Ovis aries: one gene and its partners. The protein of the gene in region 3 interacts with the protein of the main gene of each other region in a pairwise test. Links are inferred from orthologs where the notes say so. Each region holds a gene or a part of one and is shown on either strand. Other genes may lie near its edges. The genes, in order: ZNF24, HNRNPM, LMO2, TAL2, TLE5, ABI2 and IFT43.

Region 1 (4,130 bases), on a different chromosome or scaffold from region 3:
GAGGATGAGATGGTTGGATGGCGTCACTGACTCAATGGGCATGAATCTGAGCAAACTCCAGGAGACAGTGAAGGACAGAGGAGCCGGGGTGCTGCAGTTCATGGGCTCACAGTCAGACCAGACTTGGCAACTGACCAACCACCGTGTAGCAGGCAGTCAATATCCTGGGATTACTATGTGGAGATACTGTGGTGAATAAGGCAGGCACAGTCTCTGCCTCTATGGGTCTTATGGACAAAAGCAAAACAAACAAACAAAAAAATAGAGAAGTGAATAAATGAGATCGCTTCTACCCAGTGCTATGAGAGAGGGGAGGCTTCCAGGAGGAAAGGTGGTCAGGAAGGCTGAGGATCCAGACCACAATGAGCCTATAGAGCTGGAGAGTGGGGGTGGGGGCAGGGAACAGACTAGTGGGGCCTTACAGGAAAATGTAAGGAATTTTTATGTCATAATTAAGACAGTAGGGGAAGATTCCCCTGAAGGAGGAAATGGCAACCCACTCCAGTATTTTACCTGAAAAATCCCAAGGACAGAGCAGCTTGGCCGGATACAGTCCATAGGGTGGCAAACACAATGAGCAACTGAGCACAAGCAGGAGTAAGGCAGTTAGGGATCCATTAAACGTCTTTACATAGGGGAATTAAGTTGTCTGATTTCTGTTTTTAAACGATCACTTTGGCAGCTGCTTTGTAATATAAACTGTCAAGCCTCAAGTCAGAAAATGACCACGCATTCTGCAAATTCAGTGTGAGCTCACTGCCAAAGCTCTTGGTTAAGAGTCTCATCTTGTTTCCCTGACAAGTAAACTGGTCATAATAAAGTTGTATGGCATAGCAAGTAGGAGGCAAAGGTGAGAGTCATGCCTTGGTTTCAAATCTTGTTTCCCACTCACCAGTTATGAGCACTCCGCAAGCTATTTACTTGTGCCTCAGTGATCTCAGCTGTGAAATGGGAATAACAAAAGTACTTACTATCTCAGCGTTGTTGTGAAAATGAAATTACATGTAAAGCACGGTGACAGTGCCTGGTACAAAGTAATTAACATTCATAAATATTCATAATACTTCTTTCAGAGAACTACTGTGACGATCACATGAGATAATGCATGTGAAAAGGCTTATGAAACCGTAAAGACTGTCTTAGTGGCAGAATTCTTTCTTTTCCTTGTCTTTCAAGCGGAACCCAGAAGGCTGCGATACCGGGGGAGGAAGGCGCGAGGCCAAGCGCAGCCTCAAAGCAGTCATTGTCGTTGGACAGCCCTTCCCCCGGCCCAGAGCACATCTCCATGGCAACGTGGGGCTTCGCCTCCCCCCCGCCTCCTGGGGCCCACAGACCGGAAGCAGTCCGCGCCGGGGGCTGCTGGGAAACGGCTCGTGAGCGGCGTTTCTGCGTCGGCCGAGGACAGCGAAGCGGCTGTGGTTCCCGAGCCCGAGGTTTGCGCGAGTTGGGGGGAAGGGTGTGAGAGACGCTGGCCTGGGGGCTGCAGACTGCTTGACAAGAGTCAGCGAAGAAGCCTGGCGGGAACCTTCCTCGGCTTCTCCCAGAGGCGTGGGGGACAGGCCGCGGTCTCCGTGCCCGGCACTTGTGGGACGGGCAAGGGAAGACGAAAAGCCAGATCGGGCTTTCAGCACCCTCGAAGAGTCCTCCATCCCTTGTGTCCTTCGCGACCCCCGACTTCCCCTCCCCCATCGGCCGGTTTTGTTCTATTTCGAGGCCCTGGCATCTCGCGGAGAATTCTGGGATTCTTCTCGGGCGGAGGTGGGAGTGGGCGGGCCTCGCGCGGGGCCTGCTGGGACTTGTAGTTCAGCTGGCCGCGGGCGGAAGTGCCGCGGCTCGTTTGCTGTTGTGGCCGGGTGGCATTCGGTCTGAGGAAAGCCGCCGCCGCGAGTGCAGGGAAAAGGGGCTGACGTCGTTGGGGTGGGGGCGCGGTTCGAAGCGGCACTCTGCAGGAGTGCGTGGGGAGGTCACTTGGGACCGGGCTCTCCGCCCAAAGACGGTCGGGACCGCGGACCTGCGCTCCCCGCAACTCCTCACATCCCACCGCCAGAGTGCTGTTTGAGAACGTAAAAGGAAGAGAAATGTCTTTTCTGTAGAGTGCTTGAGCCGTAGAAAGGTAGGGTCTTGGAATAGAAACAGATCTGTAGGCCAAAGCTACGTGTTTATAAGGCCGCCACACTCCAGAGTATTTAATTAAACTTGTGTGTATGTTACCTGATAAGATCTTTTCTGATTCCTAGTTTTGGTAGGGTTACAGGAAGTTTTTGGAAATTAGCTTTCGTATTCTGGGGCGTATATGGGTACATTGAGCAGCTGCGTGGCTCATTCTTAACGGGTGTTGTAGACAATGGCATGGGCATGACTGTGCAAATACCAAGGAAAGGATCAGAAATAGCACAAGGTTTCCATGAACGTAGTAGCTGGGGAGATTGTGAGTCATTCAGTGTCAGCGGAAGAATCTGCACCACAAAGGTGTTACGAGAGTTCTTTTTTCCCCCTAGAATTTGCTGATTAATGCCTGTCGTTCCTAATTTAAAGGTATTTATGGTGTGGAGGGTAACTGAAAAATAATTAAATTTTATGGCACATAGTGGTTCCTTTTTTCCAACATTATTATCTATTCCTGACCAAGTGAATTTTTTTAACGTGTATTTAAAGTCCTAGGAGTTCTTAAACATTTAAAAAATAACTGTTAAACGTTTTGTGAAAAAAAGTTTTTTTTAACAGATAGTAAAAAAGCAGTCCCTGCTTTTGAGATGACCTAAGTGTGTCAAGGAACACCAGTATTGAATTGTAGATAATGTGTTCAAGGGTCAGATGCATTTAGATAACACTGAGAAGGGCTGGTTCTTAACTTGGATTCTTTTGATTGTTGAAATAGGTTTTGTTCATAGGTTGGCAAACTTTATCTCTAGAGGACCAGGGTAAATATTAGGTTTCTCATGCCCTATAGTGCCTATTGCAACTACTCAACTCTGCTATTGTAGTGTGAACAAATGAGTAAAATTATTTATGGAGACAGACGATTTAATTTCATGTCATTTTCACATGTAATGGAGTGTTCTTTTGATTTTTTTCCAACCATGTACAAGTGTGAAAACTATTCTTAGTATACGCATTGTACAAAAATGGGCAGCTGGCCAGATTTGGTCATGAGCTGTAGTTTGCAAACTTCTAGTTCAGGTTATTGATTGGCATTTTTAATCTAGTAAAAGAACACATTTTTATTTCCTTTAATCAGTCTGTGTCCAGGTTCTTAGAATATTTAGTCATTTATAAATTTTTCATTTCTTGTGCCTCAGGAGTGCCTGTGAAGAAAACTGGGTATTTCCCTAAGGTATCTTGCCTTGATTGTCTTTCCTTGAAGTATCACAAATCAGGATGTCTGCACAGTCAGTGGAAGAGGATTCAATACTTATCATCCCAACTCCAGATGAAGAGGAAAAAATTCTAAGAGTGAAGTTGGAGGAGGATCCTGATGGTGAAGAGGGGTCGAGTATCCCCTGGAACCATCTTCCTGACCCGGAGGTTTTCCGCCAGAGGTTCAGGCAGTTTGGATACCAGGATTCACCTGGGCCCCGGGAAGCTGTGAGCCAGCTTCGAGAACTTTGCCGTCTGTGGCTCAGGCCAGAGACACACACAAAAGAACAAATCTTGGAGCTGGTTGTACTGGAGCAGTTTGTTGCCATCCTCCCCAAGGAGCTACAGACTTGGGTTCGAGAGCATCATCCAGAGAATGGAGAGGAGGCAGTGACGGTCCTGGAGGATTTAGAGAGTGAACTAGATGACCCTGGACAGCCAGTAAGTTTCCTGTTAGGAGTACTGGCGTAGCAGTATTCACAGCTTCTGAATTAGTTCCACTCAACTAAGTTAGAATTATGTTTATGCTTCCCCTCCCCCCCCTTCATTATTTATGCTGCTTTGCCCTCTAGGCCTCTGCAGCATATGTTTTGTATGATTTCTTTGGTGTGTGTTTTAGTTTTGATTCTCATCAAATTCCTTCTCAACTGAACCAATTCCTATCATTTCCAGGTTTCTCTTCGTCGACGAAAACGGGAAGTGTTAGTGGAGGAGATAGTATCTCAAGAAGAAGCTCAGGGATTACCGAGTTCTGAGCTTGATGCTGTGGAAAA
Region 2 (4,282 bases), on a different chromosome or scaffold from region 3:
TGACTGTCCTTAGATGGATGCATTTCTCATCAATGTAAGAAAAAAAACAGCCAGCTTACAGCTGGCAGAGAAAAGGAATTGCAAAACAGGTTGTGCTTCCCATGGTCCTCATGCAGCTTGCTGTCTCAGTGCCTTTTCAGCTTTCAGCACACTCCACTTCTGGTGGATACAAAGGTGAGAAGAATCTAGTCTCTCATTTCCCATCCCGCAAAAGTGGCTCAGCTGATAAACCACTTGCAATGTGGGAAACCTGGGTTCGATTCCTGGGTTGGAAAGATCCCCTGGAGAAGGGAAAGGCTCCCCACTCCAGTATTCTGGCCTAGAGAATTCCATGGACTGTATGGGGTCACAAAGAGTCCGACACCACTGAGCGACTTTCACAAAATCACAAAAAAAGCTCTCAAGATAAAAATCTGAACTCCCTAGTCTGGAATTCACTGCCCACCAGCTGGCCCCCAGTGCTCCAGCAGTTTCAGTTCTTTACAAAGAAAGTGAAAGGAAAATGAAGTTCCTTATAAATATATATCAAACATGTCAAAATCTTTGAACACTCCTCTGCTTCCCTCCAATGATCACCTTTCATCCTCCTCCTCCTAGGGGAACACCTGGTCGCCCCCAGCAGCTTAGGGTTGGAGGAGGGGAGACCCTCCAAGCTCCCCACCCCTGGTAATGCCTTTTACTTATATCACTTTACTACAAAAATATCCATTGGCCCCTCCCTATGAGCAGGGGGACTGTTTTCTAAAGAGTTCCGCTTTAAAAGCTCCCCGATGCAAAACACACACACACACACAAAAACACCCAAAATACAAACTTTTCCAATGGCCCTACAAAAAAGACCTAAGTGTTCCTAACAGCCTAAAATATTCTCTATTTAAACAGTCTCAGACTGAGGTTCTTCCAACAAAGACTTTTAATTTCTGAAACCTTCAGATTTTTTCTGAAGGCCATGTTTTATGTTTGTCAAATGAATCAGTCACAAAATGACTATTTGGAAATGGACTGTGGAAAATGGGAAATTTGGAAAATGTACCCCAGATGCTATAATCTGTAACTAATAACTTCTCACCTAGCACGATTCTAGCAGCACTCCATCCTGTGATAACCGCTTTGAAAAGGAAAAAAAAAAAAAAAAGACATAAATGTATATCTTAAAGGCCTCCAAACATAGTCCTCAAAAATCCTACCAGGCTCCCTTAAACAAGTTATTTTTAAAAAGTCTAAATGAACACGTCCCTTTTCAGTTTTCAACAACAAAAGAGTTGGGATTACTTCTAGGATGCCTTTTTCTTGATTTCCAAGGTATTTCGCTCCTCCCTACCTCAGGAGAGAGAGTTTAACAATATAGCTAGTATTCAGTGAGTGTTCATTAGCAAACTAACTACATTCACTTTTAATCCCCATGAACTCTAATTATACACATTAAAAATTGGTGGGAAGGCAAATCCATAGGAGACAGAACGCATAGCACAGGTATACAGGAGAGGTGAATGGTTAACTGTTTAATGACTACAGTTTCTATTTAGGGTGAGGAAAAAGTTTTCAGCGTGGATACTGGTGATGTTGCACAAAACCGCGAATGCACTAGATACCACAGAATCATCCACCTAAAAATGGCTGAAACTGTAAATTTCACCAGATTTTTTTAAAAAAATGTATGTGGGAAATCAAAAGTGTGCCCAAGCCTTCCCCTCACCTCCCCCTACAGTTGGCGGGCGAAGGCAAAACGTCTTTCCGCACCTCTCAGGCGACTGTAATCAGAATGAGTGGGGTTCAGCGGAGACACAAGACGATGCTTTAAAGTTTTAAGAAAACTTTCAAAACAGAAGACCTGAGACAGAGCCCCCAAAAGGACTCGAAAGGGTGACCGAGTTTGGAAATGGATGAACCCGCCTAATGATGCAAAATCTTCCCCTAGAACATGGAAAATGTTTCCCTTTTTCTTTCTTTCCCCTTAGACTTTGTTTCTACGGCTGAACACTGAGCAGCAGATCCGATCGCTCCACAAATACCTACTGCTCACCTGGGGAGGAGCTGAGGCTTGGGGCAAGGGGCGGTTCCGACCGAGGCACTTCCCGCGGGGCCTGGGGGGTGGGGGGAGGAGAACCGCGCGCGCCGGGGCGGAAGGGGGAGGGGGAGTCCGGAGCCGTCCTCGCGGTCCTTCCCGATACCTACCCGCCTCCGCTACCGTTTACCGGGACCGACCGCGCGCGAGGTCCTGCGTGCGCACTCCCTCCCCTATCCCCCACTTTACGGATCGGGAAACTGAGACCCCGGACGACGGCGAAGAGACGTGAAGCCACGCGCCCAACCAAGGTCACCCGACAAGCCAGCAGGTCGCGGACTCCGGGTCTCGTCGGCTCTGGGGCCCGCGCGCCATTATCCCTGCGCGCAGAGGCCCGGCCTTAGGCCTCAGCGTCGGACCCGGTCTGGAGAGACCAAAGGAGCTGAGACCTGATGCCTGGGAGGGAGCGGTCCTACAGGCGCTCACGGAGCCGCCCGGCTTCCCCCCTCACGGCCTGGCCCGCCTCCACCCTCGGCAGACCCTGAGGGGAAAGAAAGCCCAGCTGAGGCCGCGCCGGGAGGAGGCCCCAGCAGATCTAACGGAGCCGCCGCCAGCCACCGCGAAAGCGCCCAGCCTGGAACAAGGAGCCGTAAAATACTCACCCTTTCGGGCCCGGAGCTCCGTTGCCGCTTGGCACGCCAGGCGCGCCGCTCTCCTCCTCCATTTTGGGCTCCGTCGCCGCCACCTCGGCCGCCGCTTCGACCCCTGCCGCCATTTTCTCCGCGTCTGGGCTTTGTGTGAGCGAGAGTGCTGCGCGGCGCTGCGCCTGCGTGCTCACGTGACTCGGCGCGACCAGTAACGCCTGCGCGCGCCGCGGCGGCCTCCGGTCTCCTTCCCTCTGGACCCGGGCCACGCCCCTGCTCCGGGCCACGCCCCCGCCGCGCGCTAGCACGCACAGTCCGCTGTTATTAATTCATTCTTGCAACAAACTTGTTTGGCGCCTACTGGATACAGTATCCGCTCTCCAGGTGTAGTTGTTATTATGGCTCAATCGTGTCCTATTCTTTGCGACTCCATGAACTGCAGCATACCAGACTTCCTCGTCCTTGATTATATCCCGGAGTCTGCTCAAACTCACGTCCATTGAGTGGGTGATCCCATCCAACCATCTCATCCTCTGCCAGATCTAATGAGGGAGGCATCTCTCCACCCGCCACACCTGGACCTCGTCACTCCCAGCTTTGTGTAATCCGAGCTGGGGTAGAATGACAGCTAAAGGTCTGTTTCCTAGGCTATAAAGGAGTTAGCCAGGCAAGGGTAGGACACCGAAGGGCCAAGCAGTAGGACAAATGTGCAAAATGTTAACAATGTCTCGTTAAGAAAGTATCTCATCCTACACAAGGAATACCTGGGCTAAATCCGGCGTAAGAATTCTGAGTGCAGAGCCCGTGGCCCAAATCTCTGTCACTAAACAGCCATCAACTAACAACAAGGTGTCTAGCTGGAGACTTCCTTTGTGTTTATGAATGTTTGTTAAGTGAGTGCGCAAGCAAGAAGCCAAACCTGTTGATAGAAATTACATGATAAAAGAGACGATTGGACTCATTCCTGCCTGACCCTGCGTCCTGCTGCTCTGAGAGCTTGGCCCTGTCCTCAGATGGGTTTTCAGGGTTGATACAGGGCTGTGTTCTGGGGCAGCCACAGTGGCCTGGGAAGAGCCCAGAGCCCCCAGCACTCAGTCCTCAGGCTCCCTTCCCCAGCAGCCGCCTCTCTCTCTGGTGTCTCTGGTACATTGCAATGTTTCACTGGAACTTGCAGACATTCCCATCTAACCCCCAAACTCTCTCTAAACTCACAAAGGGAAAGAGTTTTGTTGGTTTGTTCTTGTTCTTGTCATTTTACCCTCTCTCACCGAATAACTACATTTCATCAGCCTCTGGGAAACTCTCCCACTTGCTACACCTTCCACCAAATTAAATACTTAATCCAGCCTGGTGATTCTGACCCTGGCTGAGAACTGCAGGCCCAGAGAATAAATTCAGTAAACTCAATGTGAGGCAGAGGCTAAGCCTCTCTCTGCTATGGGGGTTTGGGGGCTTCCCAGGTGGAGCTAGGGCTTCCCAGATAGCTCAACTGGTAAAGAATCTGCCTGCAATGCAGGAGACCCTGGTTCGATTCCTGGGTCGAGAACATCCGCTGGAGAAGGGCTAGACTACCCACTCCAGTATTCTGGCCTGGAGAATTCCATGAACTGTATAGTCCATGGGGTCGCAAAGC
Region 3 (4,227 bases):
CCATAGGGACCTAAGCTTTGGACATGGACATAAGAAAAGGACAAGAGCATGCAGACAATGGTAAATTCTAGGTATGCATGTAAGAAGTTAGAATCAGCTTTAAACAAGGAAAACGAAGCCTACAGGGATGTACTTCTGACTTCACCTTCCAGGGTGATTTCATCCAGACCCTTCAGTGCCATCTTTAAAAAGGGAATACAGTGTCCATGACCATGATCTAGACTGCTCCTATAAAACCATGGATCCTGAGAATACTGGTAGTTTCTTCTTTACAAGACTTGTGGCACGCTCAAGTAGGCCTTTAGTAATAATTTCTGAATGCAATTATTTTCAGGGATCTCTGATGAGGCCCAAGGGACCTAAAGCTTTGCTCTATTGAAGAGAAGACTTTTAGCTTCCTCCTCTCCCGTTCTACATTCGCCTCTCTTCTTGGAGTTTGCCCTTGAGATTAGATGGGGAAGCCTGAACCAAACAAGTCTGCGTTCTCTCTCTTTTCCTGACCCAGGGCAAAATAGTCTCCAAGCATTGCTCTCCATCATTGGAGAGGCACTTTTCTCTGTGAAGAGTGCTATTGGCCCTTTACGGGGCCAGTTTAACTGTAGGGGTCCGATTTTTAAAGATGCTGAGGGAGGGAATTCTGCCGCCGGCAGATGGAGAGGAGACTCAGACCAGCTTGGTCCCTCCCAAACACCCTCCCTCGGGATTAGCTGCCCCTGGTGCTGCTGAGGCGTACCCAGCCCGTGCGGTCCCTGCTCGCACAGCTCCCGTCGTCTTTTTGGAGCGCGGACGCAGTCACAAGTCCTCAGCCAGCAGAGCCGCGCTGTCTTGGGGGCATCTCCGCGTTCCCTGGCCGCGGACCTGGGACCTCCAACCCCGGACGCGCGCGAAAGCCACTTGGAACGCGTACATCTCTGTATGTGTTTATTTCACATTTTCGTTTTTTCTTTCTTCCTTGAGCGGCCCGCTGGTCACTTTCAATCTTAGTTAACCAAAAGGGGAACGCCGAAGAGGGAAAGCCCTAAAGAATGCTTCACAGGCAACCCAGCCGCCTCTCCAAGGAGAGGTGGTCTCTGAGCGAGTCTCCCTTGTCCCCGACGCTGGCCCCTTTAAGAAGCCAACTCAGTCTTGCTGCGGCTGCCGCTGTTTGTATCGCTAATCCCCAGGAGCCCCGTTTAAAAAAAAAGGGAAGAAAAAAGATGGTGGTGGCGGGGGGGACCGGGCAGCTGTCTCTTTAAATGTGATTTCCTTCTATTGTATTTGAATCGTGATCAGGAAAAAGGAAATGAAACCAGAGACAGAGGGAAGCTGAGCGAAAATAGACCTTCCCGAGAGAGGAGGGAGCCGGGGGAGAGAGGCGCGGTCCCCTCCCCGCCCCCAGGCCGCCGCCCCCTCCCTGCCCTCGGCGGCGAGCTGCGCGCCGCGACCCCGGCTGAAGGTGCGAGGGGCGCGGGGCGGCCGGGCGGGCGCGCACCATCCCCGCGGGCGGCGCGGAGCCGGCGACAGCGCGCGAGCCGAGCCAGACCCGGCGGCGGCGGCGGCGGCGGCGGCGGCAGTGGCGGCGGGACCGGGATGGAAGGTTAAGTCCTGAGCAGCAGTAGCAGCTGCAGCCGCCCGGGGCCAGGCTGCGCGCCCCGGTCCCCTCCTCGGCCGCGGCGCGCCGGCAGCCCGGTGATTCGCTCTCTCTCTTTGGCGTTTGAAGGGAGCGCGGTGACTGTCCTTGAGCGCGGAGGGGCGAGCTCGCCGCCAGAGCGCCGGAGCAAGAAGAGGCGCAGGAGCGGCGGCGGCGGCGGCGGCGCCCGAGCACCCGAGGGGGTCCGAGCCCCGGCAGCCGGCCAGCCCCGCGCCACAAAGGGAGCGCCCCCGCCGCCTGGCACGCCACCTCCCTCCCCAATGTCCTCGGCCATCGAGAGGAAGAGCCTGGACCCATCTGAGTAAGTGTGACGCCCCTGCCACCGAGGGTCCACGGCCTCGCGACCCGGAGCGGCGGGGTGGGGCGGGCGGCCGGCGGGAAGGCTCCAGGTGCGCGCCCGCGGCGTGCCCTTGGTTCCCTCTGCCGTGCGCGGGGCTCCCGCATCCTCTTGGGTGACCCCGGGGACACTGGGAGAGGGGCTGGTGGCGGGCGGCAGGAATGCGGTCGGCCCGGCGCCTCAGCGGGCCCCTCGCGGCTCCCTGGGACGCTCCCTAAAGCCACTTCGGGCCAGAAAGTTTGCACAGGAGCATGCACAAGGGGAGGTCAGAGGCGCGCCGGTGCAGTCCCGAGAGCCTTCAGGACTCGATTCTGCTCCCTTTTCCCCTCTCGTTCCTTCTCTTTGTCCGTTTGGTCCTGGAAAGGGGGACACTACAAGTGGAGCCCCCCACCCCGGGTCCCCGACGGTCCCCTTCCGGGTCCGCAGGTGGAGCGGTTGCCCACGGCGCCGGGGACCCACGGGTGAGGAGGTGCGAGAGTTCACCTCGGAGCTCACCCAGGCCTCCAGAGACTTTAGAGCAGCCGAGCAACACGGGAGTTAGTCTGGATACGCGGACACGCCTCTCCCCTCGGAGTCCACCGATGGGTACCTTTGAACCTCCAAAGTTAGTGCACCATTTTGGATATAGGTGAATTTTTCCGGAGAGCGGAGTCTTAAACGGCTTTTGTCACAATCTCAAAGGGTTTAGGGTCTGGGAAACAGAGCTCTAAATGAACCGCATTTGTTTTCTGAGCCCATTGCTCAGTGTTAACATGGGGAGAGAGGGATGTTTAAGATGTCATTTTCCCGTCAGCGCAAATGCCCTTTTAAGATTCATTAGCTGTCTGGTTTTGAGAATTTTTATTCCTTTGAAGTCCCCATCTAAATCCTTTGAAGGGATTTGTTACACAGACCAAAGGAGCTGGTTAATGACTTGTCCATTTGTGCTTTTAAGAGGCATTTGTTTTGTTTTGTTTTCTTTTCCTGCTTTAAAAGAATTGTGCTTTCCTGATTGAAATACCTCCTCCTCCCAATTTCAGCCTCCTATGGTGTTTATATACCTGGGTTTTACCAGCATAAAAGCTCAGCGTGTTCTCATAAAACACAGGAAGTAACCATGATCCAGTGAGAATATAAACATCACTATTCAATCTTGAAGGTTCAGAAGCCAGATCTACAAGGAGTCAGGTTTGTTCTAACAAAAACCCAGCTTCCTTAAATTCTCAGGGAAAAAAATAACATTGCTTTTTTTTTTTTTTTTTAAGTATTTGTTTAGGAAAACTCTGGGAAGGGTGCTTTGCTCACTTTTTTTTTTTTTTTTTTTTTACAAACCTAGAATGATAACTTAGCCCTGAGTTTTCAGAGCCTGGGCAAGATGATAGTAATACAATAAGAGAGTGCATTGGATGAATTACCTTTGAAAGGTGCCTAATGCCTTTTCGATCAATAGAACTTAGTCACTAATCTTTTTATTAGAAGATAAATCTGGAGGTTTCAGTTCCCTGAAGGAAGGTTGCTCCTTTCAAAGTTTGTGCTTTTTCACAAAGAGACTGGAAAATTGAAACATGTTCACCTCATAACACAGCAGGCATCTGCGGAAGGATGCTCAGTAGGGTGCTCTTCTCTATCCTTTGCTTCACTATTTGCCCAGTGAAGATAGGCTTTAATTGGAGATGGACCAGCTAGCTGAGAAATTATTGCAGAACATTTTTCCCCCATATCTTTCTTGGAAACTGTTGAGAAATTATCCCAGAAATCCAGGCCAAAGTGTATTGAGGTGTAATGTTCAGATAGGCTCTAGGAGAATGTAAAATATTAATTAGAGGGTGAGTCCCACAGTTATTGGCTTGGAACCTCCACCAAAGATAATGTGATATTATCTTTAATTATAGAAAGATAGAGCCAATATCTTATTCAGTCCTTTCCTATCTCATATTAGGCCATCACAGACAGTAGCTTTTTGGCTTAACATTTCCTCCTGTGGACCACTACCCTACCAGATGCTTCAGTGAGTACATACTTGGGTCAGTGTGACTGAGGTCAGTCTGATCAGCAACTCCAAATTACACCCAGAAACTTGCCTAGGCCTATGCAAATGAAACATTTAGACAGAAAGACAGCCAGAATTCACACACACACAGATTTCCTCTACTGTGCCGTCGGTGGCCCCTCCTGCCTCCCTGTGAATAACAGGAGCAGTTCATTTCAATTCCAGGCAGTTTTGCACCAGCTAAGTGCAAATTCTCTTCTTTCACAGTTGGTTGGCAGGATCTGCGTCAGG
Region 4 (4,130 bases), on a different chromosome or scaffold from region 3:
TTCACAAGTCATTTTTATTTATAAACATATTTTTGTTGTATTTATTCCTCAACACTTTTATAGCCATTACTGTGTGTCAGGCACTGTTGAAAGTGATTTACAAATATTAAGCTTATTTAATTCTCCTAATAGCCTTTGTCTACCACCAGTGGCTGCAGGGGTTCAGCAAGGGAAGGATATGGGAGACTCTGGGATGGCCTGGAAGGGTTTGTAGGAATGGAAAGAAGGATTTAATCTGCTCTTTAAAGATTGTGTAGAAATAGGCAAGTAAACAGTGAGGAGGGAACTCATGGGACAGAAAATGCAAAGGTATGGAATTGGGAATATTTACTACTCTTTTGGTGGGGGGAGGTGGTGGTGTGGGGAACAGGAAGGGACCCTCTGACCAGGCTGCTGAGACCGGAGCAGGTAGCAAACTGATAGCCATGAGCCAAGGGTACCAAATGTCTGGTGCTGGGTTTTGGCTTATTTCCTGATGTGCCATAAACATTGCCATTGATGTATGTTAATCCAAGCCACCTGAACAAAGGGGCCTGTGCCTCTCAGAGGAAAAAATGGCACGATTAGGATTGGCAATACGTGATAACAATCACCTCGCCTACGGTTGGAAAGATCATCCAAATTCAACCTTGGGGAGCCTGGCTATCTTCCGCAGCATCCATATCAAATTGTCGCCCTTCACCTATTCCTTTTCTTTGTTTGGCGTGCTAAATAACCCCATTGCTATTCTTCATACAACTGGACTTCAAGATTCTTCCTCACCCTGTTCATCCTCCTCTGACTGTGGTCTGGTCTAGACATTTTAGCTCTTACACAGTGCGCCCAATCCTACAGATAAAGTCCACCACCCAGAAGGGTTTTGCTGTCACCTTCTTCATTCCTAATTTATGTTGTAAATGAAACCTAGGATCACAGCCCCCTCCCCCCTTTTAAAGAATCTAAATTCAACTCCCTATTAACAAATATGTATTTTATTCTCATGTGTACTCAGTCCTACGCCGTGCCTGATTCTGAACACTTAGGAAGAGTTGGTTATAAAAGAAGTAACGGGAGTATTAGGATAAAAACACCATGTTACCTGCAGGCTTCGAGACAACCAGGGAGAGAAAAGCTGACAGGAGGTGTTCTCACTGCCCTTTCTTCTGCCGCATTTTCTTCTCTTGTCACAGGAAGATCCACAACACCTGGAAATGAGGCAGCACATCCCCTAAGATCTGGGTGGAAAAGATGAACGGCTCAAGCTCCTGGCAGGACATGGGCTACCCAGCAGGCCTCTGACAAGGTGTTGGCCCTCAGGGCCCTTTCTCTTTCTTGTCTCAGGAACTCCAACATGACCAGAAAGATCTTCACGAACAGCAGGGAGCGGTGGAGGCAGCAGAACGTCAACAGTGCCTTTGCCAAGCTGAGGAAGCTCATCCCCACTCACCCTCCGGACAAGAAGCTGAGCAAAAATGAAACACTTCGCCTGGCCATGAGGTACATCAACTTCCTGGTGAAGGTCTTGGGAGAGCAGAGCCTACAGCAAACAGGAGTGGCCGCTCCCGGAAACATTCTGGGCCTTTTCCCTCAAGGACCCCACCTGCCAGACAGGACTCTGCTTGGTGACTACCAGGTTCCATCACCTGGCTCAAGCCACCACATTCCGTGATAGTGGGGCTCTGGCTGTTGTGACCCCAGGCAGCACTGGTTCAGAAGTCACTAGCTGTCAACAGCCTTTTTGCAAGTACTAGAGTCAGCATGGTGAATAATTTGTGAGGCGTGAACTCAAGCTTCATAGGAGGTGTCTCATGGTCAGCTGCAGAATGCTAAAAGAAGGCCAAAGGGAGGTGGCCACACATCTTCCCCGGGGGCTTCAGGCAGAGCAGCCTGTATCTGTTGATTTTATAAATCCAGGTTCCTGCATAAGATGTTATTTGGGGGGAAAAAATGACCCTTAGACTGAAAAAACTGGTTTGAAAATCACTGCTTTATGTAATATGTTTTCAGTTGTAAGAAGAGTTTCCTCAAAATGGATCGCAGATCGATGAGTAGAAAATGCTACCCTCCGAACATATTTTAAAGTTTGTTCTGAAAAATGAGGCATATGTGATCAAGGGTGAACAGCATAAGACAAATGAAAAGATAGCTCTTGCAGAAACCAGCCTGGAGACTTGTGGGGAATCTGTGGATAAAAGACCCTTCTGACACATGAGGACCACAAGAAGGCAGCAGATATGTGCAGGAGAGCTCTGCATCCTCTATCTCTATGGAAATGTGAGGTGTCACTTGCATTGGACCACGAGTATATGTGTTATCGCTAAAGCCAAATGGCACATTATACCCATGAGAGGAAAGGACATGATAATTTGTGAGAGTTCATGGTTTTCTTATGAAAAGAAGTACTAAAATAGTTTTCCTAATCCTTTAGTTTCACATGTCAGGTATTGAAAACTTTCAATTCAGCATGAGTTCTTGATGATTTAAGACCTGTGAAATTCAAATAGAATGATGAAAATCTAAATATTACCATTTAATAGCTCATTTAACAGAGAGCTTAACAAAAGATTTAGAGTAGACAATAGGAGTGTAATACCAGACTCTAATGAATTGATGGATATGTGATTTGTTTTCCCTGCTGAGGAGCATTAGCTCAGTTTTGCACTGGGAGGGGTGGTGCCCACAAAAGAATGAAAGGCGTGGATCTGGCAGAACTCACAACCGTATGCCACCATGATAACGCTTGGATTAAAAAATGAATCCCATAGTTAAGCCCAGAATATAAATAATGTCATTTGATTGTCTCATCTCTGGAATGTTTTATTTTCCCAAAATTCTTGACAGAACATTGGTTTTAAAACCTTCTGAACTATAGGTAGGAAATTGATGGGTTTGAGATTATATATATACACAATAGAGGAATTTAAATTTTCTGCCCACTCTAGAAAGAATATTCAGTTTATGGAAGGCTGAAATGAACCTCTTTGGTTTGGTGATCAGAAGAAATCTGGATGAGTCATCCTCAGAATCTCATTATCAAAACAGCAAGTTCATAATGTCATTAAACTCTACACAGCATTCACACTTAACGGCACAATGCATTTATTAAAACAATGCATTTAGGACTTCCCTGGTGGTCCAGAAGTTAAGACGCTGCACTTCCAATGCTGGGGTTGTGGGATTCCTGGTCAGGGTACTAAGATCCCACATGCCGTGTTAGCTAATTCAGTCACTCAGTAATGTCTGGCTCTTTGTGACCCCATGGATTGCAGCACTCTAGGCTTCCCTATCCATCTGTAACTCCCAGAGCTTACTCAAACTCATGTCCATCAAGTACGTGATGCCGTCCAACCATCTCATCCTGTGTCATCCCCTTTTCCTCCTGCTCTCAATCTTTCCCACCATCAGAGTCTTTTCCAATGAGTCAGTTCTTCGCATCAGGTGGATTGGAGCATCAAAATATTGGAGCCTCAACTGAAGCATCAGTCCTTCCAATGAATATTCAGGACTGATTTCCTTTAGGATTGACTGCTTGGATCTCCTTGAAGTCCAAGGGACTCTCAAGAGTCTTCTCCAACACCACAGTTCAAAAGCATCAGTTCTTTGGCACTCAGCTTTCTTTATAGCCCAACTTGCAAATCCATACATGACCACTGGAAAAACTATAACTTTGACTAGACAGACCTTTGTTGGCAAAGTAATGTCTCTGCTTTTTAATATGCTGTCTAGGTTGGTCATAACTTTTCTTCCAAGGAGCAAGCATCTTTTAATTTCATGGCTGCAGTCACCATCTGCAGTGATTTTGGAGCCCAAAAAAATGGAAAAAAAAAAAAAAAAAAAGAGCATGCTGTGTAGCATGGACAAAAAATAAAAATAAGTAATGAGAATAATAAAATAATTTTTTTTAAAAAAACAATGCATTCTTGTGTGTAGGTCCTTTCTTTAAACAGCATTGAATAAACATCCCCACAGACTCAAAGTAGTCCAGGCAAACACATAAACACAGAAACCACGGGATTCCCCCAAATTTGCATTTCTTTCTCATGAGCTTTCATTGTTCTCATGAGCTTATGTGGACTTAAATTTGTCCCCAAACTACCACATGATATCACATCTCAAAACTCTGGTGACAGTTGTCATTTGAGTAATATTGC
Region 5 (2,881 bases), on a different chromosome or scaffold from region 3:
TGCCCTGGGGCACACAGATGCCTACAGAGGGGTGGGGCTGAGGGAAGTTCAGGGTCTATCTCCTCCCAGCAGACCCCCGGGGGCTCTGCTCACCTCTTGGGACAGGTAGGGCAGGACCTGGGCACATATCCCATTTAGCCTCTTGACGATTTCAGCCTGGAACAGACAGACACTTCAGCCCTGGGCAGCAGCCAGCCAGGGCAGGTGCAGACCAGCCCTGGAAAGCCCAGCGGTTCTGTCTAATCCAAGAGGAGGCCGGCAAGTCCCAGGATCATATCGACTCATCAGGCCCATGGGCACCCGATCAGCAGCAAAAGTGGCCCCGGGGGCTGAGTCTCTGAGGGTAGCTAAGAGCCCAGGACAGAGCGAAATCCAGGCCCAGTGGCTTGGGGTCTGGGTGGCCCTGGAAAGATGCCCGATGCCTCACAGGTAGTGAGCATTCCGTGAGAGGGAGGGAGGAAGAGGTCGGGGCAGCTGGCATCAGAATTCTCTAACACACCTGAGATAGGGTTTGGAGGGTGGGTTGGCAGGTCATATCACCCCCCTCCCCCAGGGCTGTCACAAAAGAGAGACAATGGAGTGAGGGTGGCAGGTCCTGGGAAAGCCTCTGCCCTCCCCCTCAGGGAGAGCAACCTCCCAGGGAGGCCTGAGAAAGAACAGAAGTGGGGGGGCTCCGGAGGTAACAGGATACCAAGGCAGTCTTGGTTCTCAGCCAAGGGGTGGCGGGTTCCTACCTGCCTGGGCGGGGCAGGGGGGCGGAGGAGGGGGGAAGGGGGCATACCTGCTTGTGCATCTCGATGTTCAAGCCATAGGACATCTCGTAGTACTGTGTAGGGGGGAGACAGAAATGGGGGTGGGTGAAGGATGTGAGGTTCCAGAGACAAAAGACACAGGGGAAGTGACAGAGAGAGACAAAGAGGGGGAGAAAGAGAGAGGTAGGAGGAGGGGAGGGCAGGCGAGAGAGATGGAGTCGGAAGCGGGGAGACACCCACACCTGGAGCTGGGGCCCAGGTGCCTGGTGAGGATGCTAGGGACGCCAGTGGGGCCCTGAATGCCCCATTTCTGGAATAATGACCTCAACCCCTACACACACACACACACACACACACACGCACGCACGCACGCACACACACACGCACACACACACAGGCACACACACACTCCAAGGCTCCTAATCTTTTATCTTTATGTGTCTTGTCTGCGGGTGGCCCCGGACTCCAGGGAAGTTTGTCTTCCTGGGTATAAATAATCGAGGATAAACAAATCCTGTTGGGTCTGCCTTTGGGGCCAGCGCCCCCCCTCCTCATGCCCCACATCTGACCCTGCACCTCCCCTGCTCTAAACCTTCCTATGACTCCCCATCACCCCCCAGGGAAGATAGGGGGAGAAAGCCAGGTTTGTGTGGTCTCCCCTTCTCTGCCCAGCTGGCTCCTATCCATTCATCAGGACCCCAGCTGCAGTGCCTCCTTCTCCATGCAGTCTTTCTCCAAACAGGAGCATACCCTTCTGGAGTGCCCCAGCCCCATCCCTCTGAATCCAGAGGTTCCTTGTCCAGCTCTGCCTCCCCCATGGCCTGGGGGAAGTGGGCTCTGGGCTGGGCTTAGGCAGGGGTTTTGATGCAGAAATCACCACCTGGTGCATATGAAGCGAAGCAAGTGATTCCAGCAGTGTGCAGGGGCAGGGTCTCCAATGTCAGGCCCAAGAAGGAAGTGTCACCCCCTCCCTCCCTTCCACCCACCCACCTCAAAAGAGTGTCAGCCTCCTGCCTGGGGAAGGGGGCCCTCCAGGAGTCCTCCTCCAAGCTTGGACTAGGAGGGGTTAAGCCTGGGATGCTTAGACAGTGGGGGTGGGGAGGGGAGGGATCAACAACCCCCCTCTAACCCCAGTTCCTGGCTTTCACAGCCACTGGCTCCTCCGCTGCCAAGGACAGCCAGGGACCTGGCAGGCCCAGGCCGCAACCCGGTGGCTTGGCACCTCGGCCACTGCCTGGGCCGGCAGCCAGGCCAACAAGATTAACTCAGCCCGGCCAGGGGCTGGCTGAGCGGAGAGCAGACCCTGACTTCTCGCACATCCCAGAGGAGATGGCCAGGGTTCAGACAGCAGCTGCCAGTGCTGGAGGGGGACCTGGGGTCCTCTGGCCCTGCCCACCAGACCCCCGGGCTGGCTTACCATCACGTAATGACGCTGCATTTCTGACTTCTCGCTGGCCAGCTTGTCACATTCGAGTTTCAGACTGAAGAAGAAGAGGGGGAGGGCCAGGGCTGGGATGATGTCCCCCTCATTGTGCAAGGGAGCCCCAAACTTTGGTGGGGGTCAGAGAGAAGAGGGGGGAAGGGGACCCAAAGGTGCCTTAGCTGGAAACTGGGGATGATGAAACCCACCTTGAAGATGTGGGGGTGGAGAAAGCAATGAAAATAATAAAAACAGAAGTCAGAGCAAATATCCTGACTGTAGGTCAGACAGGGATTCAAAGAAACTTTTTCCTATCATGAAATCCAACGAGGTCAGGGCTGTTAACGTCAGTCTCCTTCATAAAAATGATGCAATGGATGCTCAGAGAGGTTGAGTGAACAGGCTCAAGGTCACACAGCCAGGAAGCTGGCTTCAAAGGCCATACTCCCACCCACTGGGCAAAACTCTCCAGCAAAGAAGGAATAAACAGACATTGCTGAGAGGTTACAAGGGCCCAGAGCCCACTGGCAGGGCTCTGGACTGAATTCAGTAAGGAATCTTCAAAGGCCCCCAGCCCATCTTGTGACCTCTGATTTCCATGGTTGGGGGAGGGGTATAAATTTCTATCACTGGATAATAGAGCTGGTGATCCCCCTCCTCTCTTGGGTTGCCCCAGCAAGGATGAGCTTTGGATATTTCTCAAAGGCCC
Region 6 (4,114 bases), on a different chromosome or scaffold from region 3:
ACAGTATGCCTTTTCAGAAGGACACCACCATTTTTCTTCCTTTCCTCTATTTTTACACTAAATGTAATCCACATTTAGAATATTATCTTATTTTTATATTCTCATGCATAAAACCAGGCATTTAAGGATGCTGAGCAAAGAACCTTATCATGTTACCTATCAATAAATGTCTTTTTCCTGCTTTACAGGCAAAAACTGTCCTTGCACAAAATAAAATGAGTGTCAGGTGAAGTTAACTTGAGCTAGTGGTTAGGACATGTTGCTATAATAAGGCTAACCTGACCATCAGATCACTAATTGACTTGCATCTATTGCAGGGTCACAGGCTGCATCAGAAGCCCTGCTGGTCAGTTCGATGGTTACAGGAAGAGCCAGCCAAATGTGCAGCTGAGTCAGCACAAATCCACTATCACCATGTTCTATTTATCAACTTTACTACAAACAAATCATGTACGAGTTGTCATCTGTTGAGAGAACGCCAATAATATACCCACTGGATCCTAATAGCACCTATTTTAGGTTCTAAATTGAAGAAACAAGGTATTTTAAAATCCAAATCCATTTCTATTAATCAGCACTTATATTCTGAATTTTAAAACACCGCATTAAATTCTGAGTCCCACCGCTAAGACAAATGATGGCAGCAACATTCTTCTCCTTTGAACCGCAAGGAATATAGTGATGACAATGGTTGATCGCTTCACTCTCTCAGCTTTATCAACTCAGGTACTTTTACCTTTAGGTAACAACTGCAACCTAAGAGGAACTATACCTTCAAATTACAATAAAAATTATCTTCCAAACAAAGAGAACTTTTTTAAAAAAAATTAGCAGTGATAACTGCAACCCAATCACTTTCCACCCTGTTTCTCTTCTGAGACCTGTAACTCTTTCCCATATGTTGCACAAGGAATTGTAACGACTACTTCAGTCCTTTTAATTTGCCTCTCCTAGAGACTCTGAATTTCCAGAGTGAGGATAGCATAGTTTCCTCCAGTCCTTCTTCCCACCTGCAGCCCATTAAGAATATAAACTGACGCTCAAAATGGAATTCATCTGCTAAAGATCAGCCTTCCCACTAACTATACAATGAAATTCTGTAGACACTAGCTACCTATCAACTCTTAACAATGCCAGGCCATATTACACTTTCAAATATATTTAGTGAAAACTAAGCATCTCAACCTTTTACTCTCTCCTACCACACTCAGTATCAGCAAAGCACCCCATGAATATGGACATCTGTACTGTCTATATGAGCCTTTGACCCAAGACACACTCTATCTTTTCCTGCTGGCCATACTTTCAACTTTCTCTTTGGAGGGAAAAGCCTTGGATTATGTCTGATTCATTCTCCAGTACAAATATTCCATACAAGAAAATATAGTGCTCAGGATATGTCCAATCAAGTAATATCTTACAACACTATCCTTGATTAACCATATGATCCTTACAAAATTTATGAACCTATAAATTTTAACACCTTTTTTTTCTTTGGTTCACACCAAGACTTGAGAATGCTTCCCAATATAGCTGATGTTAGGAAAGATGCCTGGAGAGATGGAGGTGGGAGAAGGAAAAAAGGCCATAGTGAAGGAACAATTTAACACATTGCTTCCATTTCCACCTATATCCCAAGAGAATTTAAATGGGAAGGGAAAAGATGGAGGTAGAACCTATGATTCAGAATAAGCTATAAAGAAAACAAAAGATGCTGACTTTGCAAACTGTGCATCTTAAACTATCCTTTCAAATAATTTTTTAAAAAGAATTGTTTTTAATCACATAATCTTGCTTCTTCCAGAAGAGGCTCAATTTCATCTCACCCAATACCCCCCGCCTTCATACACAAACATACAGTGCTATCACTGAGTCCCGATGCCAAACCAACCATCACGGAAAATTTAAACCGTGAGAATTATTTCCCATTTCTCTCTGAAAGATAATCACAAAAAATTTCCCTGCAGGCAAATTAGCTATTTCTAACGGGCTTGGAGGCGGGTGGCAGAAGGGAATAAACCATTATCATGCAGCTTCTCATTCTCCATAGAGAAGAAAACTGGCATTAACTTCCAACAAGGGGGACAGCTGCTCTTATACTGTATCCTCAGTTAGAACCTAAAAACAAGGCAAAAAAACCACGCTGAGCTTTTGATACATTCAAATGAATATAAAGCTACGGCATTTTACTTTGCAGCAATATAGCGCCTCAAAAATCCTCCAGAGATTGGGGGCGACCCATTAAACCCCAAATCCTTGCCATATGGGGGAGTAGGATTCTGTCAAATAGAAAATGCCACTCTCCGCCTCCTCCGCCATCGCGAAAATTGACCGGCACCGATTGCGGAGGCGGCCGAGGGAAGAGAGGAGGCGGGGACACACACACGCACACACACCCCGCACCGAGAACTGATTCACGGCTTTTGAAAAATGCTTGAAAGCTACAATTTCCTCCAACCGGAGAATTCTCACCCATTCTCCCGCTCCCACCCTGCTTCTACCCCTGCTCAGCTGCACTGTGTCCCTGCTGCGGCCTCGGCCCCGTGTGCCCTACGCCCCCAGGCGCGGCCCCCGGGCCGGGGGTCCCCCACGCGCCGCTCAGCAGCCAGAGGCCCAACACGCCCAGGCCGGCAGATGCGTCGCACCTGGATGTAGTTGTTCTCGCAGTAATCGGCCACCCGTTCCAGATTCGTGTAACTGTCGAAGAGGGCCCGGCGGCCCCCCGGGATTTCCTCCTCCAGCAGCATCTGCAGCTCCGCCATCTTCACATCCTCCTCCTCATACAGACCGCAGAGGCAGCGGCGGCAGTAGCGCCAGGGAAACCCAAGACTAGGAGAGGAGGAGCCGAGGCGACGGCGGCGGCAACCCGGGAGGAGCGAGAAACACCCCCTGAGCGCGCGACAGGGGAGGGGGCAGCGGGAACGGGGGCGGGGCGCGAGCCGATGGACTCGGAGGACGGTCACCGCGGCGACGGCCGGCCCGGCGCGCGCACGCGCGCTCCTCTCCCTCCACCCCCGGGAGCCCGAAAAAGGTTCCCACCCTTGGTCGCGCCGCCCGCCCCTCCCCCACATCCGGCGTCTCCTAGCGACCGCGGGAGTGGGGGCCGGGATGCGCGCGGGAGTTGAGCTCGCGGTTAACCCTTCGGCCCCCGCAGGATGCGTGGCTGGGGCAGTGCACCCCGCGGCCTTTGTTAGTCCGGCGTGAACGCCCACCCGGCTCTGCGGTCTTCCCGCCCGCTTCTTCAGCGACTTTCCTCGGCGTTATCCTCAACCTGGGGCCCAACCTTATGGTAGTGGGCCTGAGGGATAATATTAGCCCCACTGAACTCCCATGCAGCTTTAACTGCGCCCCACTTTTAATTTTTCTCATCTTTGACCGTATTCATCCTCTTTGGATAAATAAATTTCAGTTTCCTAATCCCAAATTTCCTGCCCTCCAGCTTCTTTGCACCTGTTTGCCAATCAACAGTTTCCCCTGCCAGGTTAGCCTCGGTTCTTTTCTCCTTTGCCCATCCTCTGGCCTTCAGCTTTTCCCACTTGCTCTGTGCTACTCTTCAGTGACAATCGTTTTTATCACTTTCCTGAGTCTATCAACTTTTTTCCTCATCTACTAAGGATTTAAAGTTTAAAAAACGATTTTGCTGGTACTTTCCTTCCTCACAGGGCTATTACATGGATAAAAGTTTATATGAAAGCACCTTGGAAAACGTTAAATGCCACAAAAATTCAAGGTAGACCATTTTGGTCTTGCAGTTACTATTCTGTATTGTATATTTTTTTTCCCCTAAATCTGACTACTCCACACATGTAATTTTTAAAAACTGAAATTTCTGACAACTGCTGAGATATTATAAAGTCCATGACCTTTATTTGTACCATGGAAAGTCAAAGCTGACTGCCTTTGCAGTTTAGAGCAAGATCTATTATTTCAAGTCTTGTATTTGTGATCTCTTGGCCCGCCTAGTGATTTTGCCCCTCCTTTTTTTTTCTCCCCTGATAATGAGGAAATTACTGTCTCAAATCACTTTAATGCTTTCCTATTGTTTTATTGGCTTTTTGATATACACATTGGCAAATTGTTTTGAGTTTTTTCTGTGTAACCCAAGTTAAAGGAT
Region 7 (3,937 bases), on a different chromosome or scaffold from region 3:
TTCTACCCAAAGAAATGCAGCTAGAACTTCCTCTAGAAGGGACAGGGAGCTCATGCCACAGCTCAGGCAGAGTATGGTCAAGGCTCCCATGTCCTGATGTGGGATTTCAGGAGGGCCTAACTTCAAAGTTGCAGCTTGGCATGAAAATAGTTATCAAAAAGGCGTTTGGTGGGGGAAGAAATTCCATGGAAACTGAAACCAGAGAAATACAGATAGCATTTCCTTTGACGTATATGCTAATTGGATTTGCACTTACAGACATTAAAGGAAAGCTCTTATAAGAATTTTCTGAGACATCAGCTTTGGGAATCAGAACACTTCAAATTCTGAGTCATCAAAGGACCCATCTGCAGGTGTTTCCCAAAGCCCTCCTAGGGTGGAGGGCTCCATCTGTGTCTCCAATGCCTCCCAGCACATACAAACATTATTTGGGCAGACTGGAGGGTGTTGAAATGTTTATATTTTTCTTTTCTTGTTCTTAAAAAAAAAAAAAAAAAACCAGCATTACTGTAAGCATTTTTAGATCTCATCCGATGTAGCTTCATTTGATTTCACAATAATAGGGGCTCAGACTGAGGCCATTTTACAAATGATGTAATTGAGACCCAGGAAAGCAATAAAGTGGCAGATAAACATAAGAGCAAAATCTCTGCCTTCAAATTCTGAAGGCTTTTTCTGTGACCTGCTGGAATTTCAGTTCTAAGATGTTCTAAGATGATCAATAAATTGAGAGAAGTTACATGAGAGCTGCAAAAAAAACCATTATGTAGTGTTTACACATGAAATTCTAATCAATCATTTAGATTTCAGGAATGACAGAAACAATATTCAGACAATAAGCAGCTCATTTTCTTCCCAAGGTAGACAATTCTACTCCTTCACCTGTGGCTGCCCTTTTCCATATATGATAACATTGGGTATCCGAATATGGCATATTACACAGAGTGACTGTGGTCAAACAAAACTTCAAGGATCTTGTCTCTACTGTTTATAGATGGTTTCTCTAGTATATTTGTCAAGGATTTTAAGGTTTTAAACTTTTGGAAGACGCTGTATAAATCCATAGGAATGACTGGTAGAGAAACTACATTACTACCTGGTTTTATATATTTTAAATGTATGGTCTCGGGACTTCCCTGGTAGTCCAGTGGCTAACATTCCAAGCTCCCAATTCAGGGGGCCTGGGTTCAATCCCTGGTCAGGAAACTAGATCCCACATGCTCCAACTAAGACCTGGCACAACCAAATAAATAAATAAATATTTTTTTAAAAAAATAAATAAATAAATGTATGGTCTCTTTATTGCCCATCTTCCTCCATTGAAACATAAGCCCCATGAGGGCAGGGGCTTAGTTTTTCTTTTCACTGTTATATTTCTAACACCTAGGACAATCAATGCCTGATACACAGAAGGAGCTCAGTAAATATTTGTTGAAAGAATAAATGAGTAACTACACTCATTTTCTCCCGGTACTAAAAAAGTACACATATCAAGAAAGGCCTGATGACATAATATTCTCCTTGGTCAGTCAAGCAACCTGCTTCTTTCTAGAACAATTTGCTCCCATTCCTCATATCTCCTCTCTAGCAATTTGGAGGCTATCCGATGTTACTAGGGCACTTCAAGACATGTAGAGATTCCACGGCAGAAACTAAAGACTTGTGGGCCAATCTTTTGTGACCCTGATCTTCAGTAATTTTAAAGGTAAAAAGGCTTGGTGAGGCTGTGATGGAATTAAGAGACACACACCGAACTTGGGTCTTGAATCTAGCTCAGTTATCTATATATATACACGTGCTAAGCCGCTTCAATTGTGCCAGACTCTTTGAGACCCTATAGACTGTAGCCATTCAGGCTCCTCTGTCCAAGGGAGTCTCCAGGCAAGAATTCTGGAGTGGGTTGCCATGCCCTCCTCCAGGGGATCTTCCCGACACCCGGCTATAACCTTGGGTAAATCACGACCTCAGAAGCAACAGCCCTAACCCTAACCACAGCATATGCCAGTTGCTGTGTTACATGCTTTCCAGGCACGTCTCGTTTCATCTTCACCTCCTTGAAGGAGACATAAATCTCCACTCTAGAGAGAAGGAAATCGAGGTTAACTTTCTTTAACCCATGCAACAGCTTTACACTCCCTCTGACCTCTGGGCTCCCCACCTCGCCTCCGGCCACGCCCTCGCTCTTTAAAACTGAGGGAACGCCCATCTCCCCTGGGGGTGAGTGGAAAGAAAGACTCTCCCTAACTCCTTTCCCTTCGTCCACTCTGAAAACAGTACGGTTTTTACTTCAACTCCTGGCGTGACATGGCCAAGGGAAAAAGCTCTAGCATGAGTGCAAGTGTGACCCTCGCCAGGGCACCTCCAGTCACTCTCAGATCTATCTGTCCATCCTTGGGAAGTTGGCAAGTTGGAGCTCCAGAGAGCGGAGAGAAGCTGGGAAATTTCCCACCGTTCTCACAGGCCGGCAGGGGCAGGATCTGTTTTCCAGTCTTTGAGAATTTTAAGGAAAGCAAACCCTAGGCCAGCAGCGGAGCTCACCGCTGCCCCAGGGGCGGGGCGAGGGAGGCCGCCTCCTCTCCCGCAAGGCTCAGAGCCTGCTGGCTCCTGGCGCCAGGGACAGGCTGGGCCGAAGCGGCTCAGGGAAGCCAGAGCCGGCGGGGTCGCCCCTCCCCACCCGCTAATTCTTGGCCCCGATCCCCGCCCCGAGTCGGTCCTCACGGAGGTGGCCGGGCCGCGACGCCGCTCCTCGCCTAGGTCCAGCAAGTCCTCCATCTCTGCGGCTGCCTGACGTCACTTCCTGGAAACCCAGACGCTCAGCCGCGTCCCTGACGACGGCTCCGCCCTTTCACTCCAAGACTTAAAGGGTCCGCTTCATTGTTTCCTGGAGTGTAGGTGCCATCCTCAAATTTAAACCAAATCTTTCCTAAACCTACCTTTTATGACATTTGGAAGGAATCTCCACATATTAAATCCTGATGAGGGTGCTCCTGTGGGACAGTGAAAAGTTTTAGTTTTTAGAAACTGCCTACCTCTGTTCAGTTCAGTCACTCAGTCGTGTCCTACTCTTTGCGACCCCATGAACTGCACAGCACACCAGGCCTCCCTGTCCATCACCAACTTCCAGAGTTTACTCAGACTCACTGAGTCGGTGATTCCATCCAACCATCTCATCCTCTGTCTTCCCCTTCTCCTCCCGCCTTCAATTTTTCCCAGCATCAGGGCCTCTGTTCAAATAGGTAAGTTGTAAAGTGCAAAGCACTACTATTAATAGTAGTAATTATTCTTATCCTTTTCATGTGTATAGCTCTTGTCAATGTACAGAGGAACTTCACAGTTATTAGTGCATGGAAAATGCATAACAACTTTGTAGGAGACAAGATAAGTTATACTATCTCCATTGAACTGACACCCTGAGGGTCAGGTGCTAATAAATGACTTATGATGAGAAGTGCAATATACCTAATTTCTGCCTTCAAGAAGTTGACAGAGCAGTTGAACCAACACATCAAATATAACTATCAAAAGTACAAATAACCCCTTCAAGCCCCCATGAAGTGAGCAAAAGTAGTATTTCTATTCAACAATTGAAGACAGTGAGGTGCAGAACAGTACCTTGAGGAAAACCACCTGAGTATTAAGCAGCAGAGCCACATGCTTTTCTGACCCCAGGTCTTACTGGTGTTTTTCTCTGGCATGTATTACTGGGTGCCAGCCAGTCTCCTGGGCCAGTAGAGGAAGATGGTCCCCAAATTCCCAGCCTAATGGGACTATCGAGTTGAGTCTTCATTGACTCTACATATAAGGTTCCCTAATTCAATAACACTGACCAATCCTTGGTACTGGGGACTGCCAGCTGGGACCCCAGAACTTGAGTTCATGGCCCTGAAAGTGAAGTGTCTCCAGCATCATCCTAGGCATAAGGCTTTAGATGGCTTCT

What was found.
Region 1: the proteins of LMO2 (region 3) and ZNF24 interact in binary tests that used the Homo sapiens proteins (3 or more experiments, as listed by UniProt). The two-hybrid records come from large-scale screens. The link is inferred for Ovis aries from reciprocal best matches to the Homo sapiens genes LMO2 and ZNF24.
Region 2: the proteins of LMO2 (region 3) and HNRNPM interact in binary tests that used the Homo sapiens proteins (3 or more experiments, as listed by UniProt). The link is inferred for Ovis aries from reciprocal best matches to the Homo sapiens genes LMO2 and HNRNPM.
Region 4: the proteins of LMO2 (region 3) and TAL2 interact in a two-hybrid assay, tested with the Homo sapiens proteins (2 studies listed by BioGRID and IntAct). The link is inferred for Ovis aries from reciprocal best matches to the Homo sapiens genes LMO2 and TAL2.
Region 5: the proteins of LMO2 (region 3) and TLE5 interact in binary tests that used the Homo sapiens proteins (3 or more experiments, as listed by UniProt). The two-hybrid records come from large-scale screens. The link is inferred for Ovis aries from reciprocal best matches to the Homo sapiens genes LMO2 and TLE5.
Region 6: the proteins of LMO2 (region 3) and ABI2 interact in binary tests that used the Homo sapiens proteins (3 or more experiments, as listed by UniProt). The link is inferred for Ovis aries from reciprocal best matches to the Homo sapiens genes LMO2 and ABI2.
Region 7: the proteins of LMO2 (region 3) and IFT43 interact in binary tests that used the Homo sapiens proteins (3 or more experiments, as listed by UniProt). The two-hybrid records come from large-scale screens. The link is inferred for Ovis aries from reciprocal best matches to the Homo sapiens genes LMO2 and IFT43.

What each region holds. Positions count from the first base shown.
Region 1 is NC_056076.1:22,076,439-22,080,568, forward strand, and holds the start of ZNF24 (zinc finger protein 24), read left to right. Parts: upstream 1-1,330; 5' UTR 1,331-2,113; intron 2,114-3,299; 5' UTR 3,300-3,378; coding exon 3,379-3,798; intron 3,799-4,029; coding exon 4,030-4,130. UniProt on the Homo sapiens protein: Transcription factor required for myelination of differentiated oligodendrocytes. Required for the conversion of oligodendrocytes from the premyelinating to the myelinating state.
Region 2 is NC_056058.1:14,800,700-14,804,981, reverse strand, and holds the start of HNRNPM (heterogeneous nuclear ribonucleoprotein M), read right to left. Parts: upstream 2,801-4,282; 5' UTR 2,781-2,800; coding exon 2,668-2,780; intron 1-2,667. UniProt on the Homo sapiens protein: Pre-mRNA binding protein in vivo, binds avidly to poly(G) and poly(U) RNA homopolymers in vitro. Involved in splicing.
Region 3 is NC_056068.1:63,296,662-63,300,888, reverse strand, and holds the start of LMO2 (rhombotin-2), read left to right. Parts: upstream 1-1,427; 5' UTR 1,428-1,569; coding exon 1,570-1,576; intron 1,577-1,699; coding exon 1,700-1,931; intron 1,932-4,227. UniProt on the Homo sapiens protein: Acts with TAL1/SCL to regulate red blood cell development. Also acts with LDB1 to maintain erythroid precursors in an immature state.
Region 4 is NC_056055.1:17,406,267-17,410,396, reverse strand, and holds TAL2 (T-cell acute lymphocytic leukemia protein 2), read left to right. Parts: upstream 1-1,330; coding exon 1,331-1,648; 3' UTR 1,649-3,850; downstream 3,851-4,130.
Region 5 is NC_056058.1:18,528,392-18,531,272, reverse strand, and holds part of TLE5 (TLE family member 5), read right to left. Parts: intron 2,234-2,881; coding exon 2,170-2,233; intron 827-2,169; coding exon 782-826; intron 157-781; coding exon 94-156; intron 1-93. UniProt on the Homo sapiens protein: Transcriptional corepressor. Acts as a dominant repressor towards other family members. Inhibits NF-kappa-B-regulated gene expression. May be required for the initiation and maintenance of the differentiated state.
Region 6 is NC_056055.1:205,328,360-205,332,473, reverse strand, and holds the start of ABI2 (abl interactor 2), read right to left. Parts: upstream 2,801-4,114; 5' UTR 2,763-2,800; coding exon 2,646-2,762; intron 1-2,645. UniProt on the Homo sapiens protein: Regulator of actin cytoskeleton dynamics underlying cell motility and adhesion. Functions as a component of the WAVE complex, which activates actin nucleating machinery Arp2/3 to drive lamellipodia formation.
Region 7 is NC_056060.1:85,438,774-85,442,710, reverse strand, and holds the start of IFT43 (intraflagellar transport protein 43 homolog), read right to left. Parts: upstream 2,801-3,937; 5' UTR 2,773-2,800; coding exon 2,719-2,772; intron 478-2,718; exon of another isoform or gene 263-477; coding exon of another isoform or gene 257-262; intron 1-256. UniProt on the Homo sapiens protein: As a component of IFT complex A (IFT-A), a complex required for retrograde ciliary transport and entry into cilia of G protein-coupled receptors (GPCRs), it is involved in ciliogenesis.